2 separate regions of the Mus musculus genome follow, and region 2 is reported to be linked to region 1. Evidence: microRNA targets listed by miRTarBase, many of them from high-throughput screens and not tested one by one. Region 1 holds a microRNA gene; the other region holds the end of a gene's coding sequence.
What was found. The annotated mature microRNA mmu-miR-6908-3p reads ACACUCUCCCUUGUGCUGGCAG and lies in region 1 at 1,700-1,721, opposite strand. An mRNA with a match to its seed (bases 2 to 7 or 8) in the 3' UTR can be bound and repressed. Matches are read on the target gene's strand: a 7mer-m8 pairs with bases 2 to 8, a 7mer-A1 pairs with bases 2 to 7 and ends in A, and an 8mer does both.

Region 2: the mRNA of Srfbp1 is a reported target of mmu-miR-6908-3p. The part of its 3' UTR that is shown has no 7-base or 8-base seed match.

What each region holds. Positions count from the first base shown.
Region 1 is chr10:78,443,396-78,446,395 of GRCm38, forward strand. It overlaps Mir6908 (microRNA 6908), which reads right to left and starts at 1,762; the gene lies at 1,700-1,762. Pdxk (pyridoxal (pyridoxine, vitamin B6) kinase) reads right to left here. Exons shown (of 11, transcript NM_172134.2): 8 at 1,588-1,699; 9 at 386-522.
Region 2 is chr18:52,490,104-52,493,103 of GRCm38, reverse strand. It overlaps Srfbp1 (serum response factor binding protein 1), which reads right to left. Exons shown (of 8, transcript NM_026040.4): 8 at 1,171-2,660. The coding sequence ends at 2,476. Among named protein-coding and RNA genes, the nearest start is that of Srfbp1, 26 kb to the right of the region's middle.

The DNA.
Region 1 (3,000 bases):
CCACCAAGGAGGAGTCTGAAAGGCTGCATGGGCCCAGGATTTCTGGCTGAATCCTGTGTGAATGGTAGTTTCTGTCCTTTTAATTTTTTAAATTAATCTACCTTTTACACTCTGAGGGTCAAAACCCAGGTCATATGCATGCACTAGACATACATCCTGAGCTACCTGAGTACCAACTTTTAAATCTTAGCCCCTGAGGTTTTTGTTTCCACGCCATCACTTCCCAAACATGTAAACATGGTCCCCTCCACCCTCCCACAGACTCTTGGCTCAGGCCCAGGCCCTACTAACCTGCTCTTCTCTCTCATGGTTAGAACCATAGCACACTACCTTCCCACCAGGAGTACTGAGGGAATGGTGGAGAGGAGCAACAGGTACAACTGACCTTGAGATTGTCCGGGTGCTTGTGTGTCCACGCCAGAAGCATGGCAGCGAAGAGGTCCCCGGTGCCCACGAAGACAGCTTCCACTTTGCGCATCTCCATCCGGATGCGCTGGGTCACCGTGGAGCCGTCAGGTTTCCCTGGGGGAGGACATAAGCCAGGTCACTGGGTCTGAGACTTCTCAGTCAGACACTGGTCACCCCTACAGTAAGAACCTGTTGCCTGGTGTGGTGGCACACGCCTTTAATCCCAGCACTCGGGAGGCAGAGGCAGGCGGATTTCTGAGTTTGAGGCCAGCCTGGTCTACAAAGTGAGTTCCAGGACAGCCAGGGCTACAGAGAAACCCTGTCTCAAAAAAAAAAAAAAAAAAAAAAGAGATCGAGAAGAACCTATCAGCCCAACTTGTCCCCACATCTCTTAAGTGACAGGAAGGTCAGCACTGCCCATCCTTCAGATGGTCACACAGATGTGGTGTGGCGTGTGGCATCCTTCAGTAGTTCTGGGACTCGTGTGGACTATCATAACCAACCCCCAAATGCCTCCACTGTCCCAAAGGAGAGAGTCCCTAGAAGATGACGTCAGCATGGTGTTGAACACTCAGTGTGCCAGGAACTGCCTGGATGCATTGCCTGTCTGTATCTACATGCATGTGTGCAGCACACAAGCATTCAGATACACAACCCTAGACCCTTGTGCATCCAGAATGCTCACTGGAGCCAGTGGGTGTGAACTTGGGGTTCCTGAGAGCCAGTGGCTCAGCTCTGTGCATTGTAATATTGTTCAAACAATTAATTAAGGTGCTGCTTGTATACGAAGTCACCACAGCCCAACAGATATCTACACCCTCTGGCCACCTAGGCCACAGAAGCCAGATGCAGCTGGCCTCTGGAATAGAGGCCACAGGCCCACAGTAGGGGAGCTCACCAGACATGAGAACTTGCCAATTCAGGCACAGGAAGTGGGGGTGGGTGAGTCTGCTTATGTCCCCAGCACCCCATCCAGCCCCACCAGGCTCCACAGAGCCCTGTCCTGAGCCCGCCTTCTGTCTGTCTGACTCTCCTGGGGGACAAGAGCAACCAGCCCCTTGCTGACCCAGTATGAGCTTCTTCCTATTGAGCCCCAAACATCCTCTGAGGCCTGAATGCCATGGGCTACGTAAACAATGGGCCCAGGAGCATGCAGGAGCAGGTGGGACAGGCACTTACGCATCCTCTGGCTACCCAGCGCGATCAGGTAGTCGCTGCCCTGTGAGGAGGGCAGGTCAGAGCTGGTGATGACCACAGTGTCGGGACCCATACAGTGCAGCATGTCCATCACCTGCCAGCACAAGGGAGAGTGTCAGCATCCACACACTGGGGCTCTCCCTGACAGGCAAGCTTCCCAAGGGGACAGGCCCCTGTAGGTCACTGTCCTCTCTGCAATTAGAGATGGAGCAGCCAGGCATGACCAGCATGCTTGATGGGCTTCCAGAGACCCTGGAACTTTGCAGACACATGGCCAAGCCAGTGCCCAGCCATTGGGAGTGACACCATTGGGAGTTGAGAGTGTACAATGAGGAAGTGAGGGGGTCGCACCCCAACTCCTGAGGACCTAGGAAGCTAGTCATACCCACCAATGAGGAGAAAGCTTCCCTCTGAGCTGGCTTGTATTGTTTTGTTTGTTTATTTATTTATTGATTGAGACAGGATCATACTATACAGTCCTGGCTGATCTGAACTTGTATGTAGACCACGCTGGTCTTGAACTCAAAGAGAGGTCACTGCATCTTTCTTTTAAATGCTGTGAGCCATGACACGAGGCTCAAGCGGGTTTAAACCTGATGGATACCCTAGTCTGTATCGCCATCCTCAGAGGGCACACTCTTGGGTGCCTATACAAGCGGATCAAGGTGTGGACTTAGCCACTGTCCACTCAGCGGGAAATGACATACATGGACTTATATACTACACACACTGAACTCTCTAGGGTCACAGAGGGTGGAAAGGATGGTTTCAGTGGTATATGGAGCTGCTTGGGTGTGTCACTGAAGATCCCCATCAAGAGGCTGGAGGGATGGATCAGCACTTAAGAGCACTAGCTGCTCTCACAGAGGACTCAGCGTCAGTTACTAACACCACCATGGTGGCTCTCAACTGTCCTTAACTCCAATTCCAAGGGATCTGATACCCTCTTCTGGCTCTGAGGATACAAGACATACACATGGTACACACATACACATGCAGGAAAACTCACAGAAGCTACAAATAGATAAGTCTTTAAAAATGGAAGATGCCTTTTAATCCCAGCACTTGGGAGGCAGAGGCAGGCAGATTTCAGAGTTCGAGGACAGCCTGGTCTACAAAGTGAGTTCCAGGACAGTCAGGACTTTACAGAGAAACCCTGTCTTGAAAACCAAACTAAACCAAACCAAACCAAACCAAACCAAACCAAACCAAACCAACAAACAAACAAACAAAAAATAGAAGATGCCTATCAGCCCTGGACACATGTAGCTCCCAGGCCCAGTGAGTCCCTTCTGGGTGGCTCCTTCCTGCCAACTGCTTGTTTCTGGGTAGGATGGTGTGATTTGAAGCTAACCAGAACAGTGTTGGGACATGATGGTGACTCAGGTGGCTGGC
Region 2 (3,000 bases), not on the chromosome of region 1:
ACACACACACACACACACACACACACACACACACACACACACACACACACACACACACTCTCTCTCTCTCTCTCTCTCTCTCTCTCTCTCTCTCTCTCTCCTTGGATTACTGCAAGCCTGATTAACTCCTGAGTTCAGAGAAAGTTGGTTCCAGGAGCTTAGACACTTTCTTCTTTCAGTTTTGAGACTCCATGTCTGAAGATTAAAGAAAAAGAAGCAACCAAGCTCTAACTAGCTGACTGGTTCAGAGGCGTCAGCTAACCCTGAGAGCACTCTTAGGCAGATAATACAGAATACAGGTATGTCTTCCTACTAAAGTTTGAGGTAAGATAGAACGTCAATAGAACGTGTGATGCTAAATATCAGGGAGGAAGGATTTAGAAAGACTTGCAGAGCCCCTTTAAGGATTTGCTGCAAAGTCAATCCTTAAATATATCAAGACAGAGACAAAAATCACCAGGTAGCAGGTGGGACAGTGTAGGCACTCACAGGCCCAGGCAGTTTGTGATCCTATATAACAGGAAGACTTGCTAGGACAATACTATAGTAAGAGAATCAAAAGGCACAAACCCAGGACTTTTCAACCTTTGAGTTGTATTTTAGTCTGATAAAACATAATCTTTATTGCTAGAGAGTTAGTATGTCTAGACTATATCCGATTGCTGTGGTGCCTTTCATGAATCTGAACCTCTCCAGACATTAAGGGCAAAGTTACCAGAAACTCAAATGCCCTACCAGCTGTTCTATCTGGAGGCACAGCAGCAAGTTCATTGCCATTGTAAAGTCTCCGTGTAATAAACTATAGCAGTAGATGTAAAAGTCTGCCTCCAACTTTTAGGTGGACTCCTGGCCCAAGGAACTCTCTTAGGCAAACTTACAAAACTGTAGAGAGCATTCCAACTTGCTTAGGTGTACACACACACACACACACACACACACACACACTCTCTTCTTTACTTTTTTTTGGGGGGGTTGGGGGGTTTACAGGGAATTGCTTGGAATGAAGATTCAAGAAAACTCCACATCTCCGCCATAAACTGAACCCACTGTTCTAGTTACTGACATTCCTAAGTTTGTAAAACAGAACGTACACTTGCTAACTAGGCGCTTGAAGGCAGAGTGGAAGGCGTTACCTTGTTCTAAGAGAATATATATGCAGGCCACATAGAATTCAGTTAGCACTGTTTAATTAACTAACCATCTTTCTTGTCTTCCACAGCAATAAAAGGCAAACAGGCAAGGATCTTTTACAAACCTCTCTCTTTTCCTTTAAGGTCACTGTACTGTATGAAACAGGCGAGGATCTTTTACAAACCTCTTTCTTTTCCTTTGAACACAAGTCACTGCACTGTATGAAACAGGCAAGCATCTTTTACAAACCTCTTTTCCTTTACTGTATGGAGTACATGGTTCTTTAGGAGTCCAAGAACTCCTATTTAGCCACTTCAATCCCTCCTCTTCTACATTTCAACACAAGTTAAAATGCCTGCATCTTGGTACTGTGAGAGTAAAAACCCAGCCCTGTTTGAGCCACACAGCAAGGTCCTCAGTGGTAGAGCATGTATAAGACCTAGAATGCATGAGGCCCTAGGTTCAATTCCCAGTGTTGTACTCCAATATTTGCCTAAGTGACTAGACACCATGCATAACTTTTCTGTACCATGAACACTATATCCTGGACTTGGTCCATGGACAGAAAAACTAGGGCTCTATTGATCCATTCTTCAATGAATGGAAATACTCATTGCAGGGGTACTTAGAACTTAACTTTTAGGTGTTGCTACACATAAGCAAGTTGCTCAAACACTGCAAAGATAAGTCACAAGTAACTGCAACTATCACAAATTAATATTTATTTATATACTATTTCTATATCCACAATGAAAATTGCCATTTCTGTTTTGCTTATAAAAATATTTTTTAGTCCTAATTTCTTTCTTTTCTCACTATTATTTTAAATATGTCCTAACATTTTTTATATGACATTTATTATATGTGAACATATTTGTATGTACATAGGCATGTGCCACAGTGTATGTGCAATCAGAGAACGACTTTGTGAATTAGTTCTGCCCTCATACCAAGGGAATCACAGGGGTCAAACTCAGGCCATCGGGCCCCAGGAAGTGAGCCATCTCCTAAGCCCTGTTTGCCTTATTTTGAAGGCAAAAGGGAAAGCTTAACTAGCGAAATATATTTTGTAATCATGAATGAGAAAACCTAAAATTCCGTAATATCTAAATTACTTTATGTAAGAAATAATTTGGGGCAAGCATTCTTATGAAATAAATTTAGAGATCTGTGAAAAGATTATGTAAATATTCCCTAAATTCACATAAAAAAAGAAAAACAAGCAATATATTTTATAACTCTTTGAAAGAGACTTATTTAAAATGCAAGTTTAAATAACATGTTAGTTAAAAACAAAACCAAAAATTTTGACAGAACGCTTGCAAAGAGGCAGCAAGTATCAAATCAATCATCAAATGTAATTTTTTTCCCCTGAAACACAGCGATTTTGGACTGCTGCTCCTTCCGCCTCCTGCTCGCTTCCCAGGACGGATGCAGAGGTGCCTGCATCGTCTGCTTCACACTCTCAAAGCCTCTGTATGCACTCTTTGTAAACTGCTTCTTGACTGGGGGTTCATTTTCTGGAAAATCTGGGAAGAGAAAGCAAAAACGACAAGTAACTATACCAGAGCAGAAAGAAAGCTTTCATTTCTTTACACTACGCATTCAAGGAAATCGTATTTTACTTAGACACAGTATCTCACCAATTAAAGCTGCATCCCAATAGAAGACAGCTTCGAATTAAGAACTTACACAAGTAGTTAATTTGCTAATTATTGTATGCAGGCTCTTGCCAATATGGGGAGACAAAACAAGCTACAGAAAACCAATAAAAACTGATACTGGTAGTGATACAACACCCCATTTCTACTTGTGTGGGTACACACATCAGGAATAATACTATTAGGAAATGACAATTTTTGTCCTCTC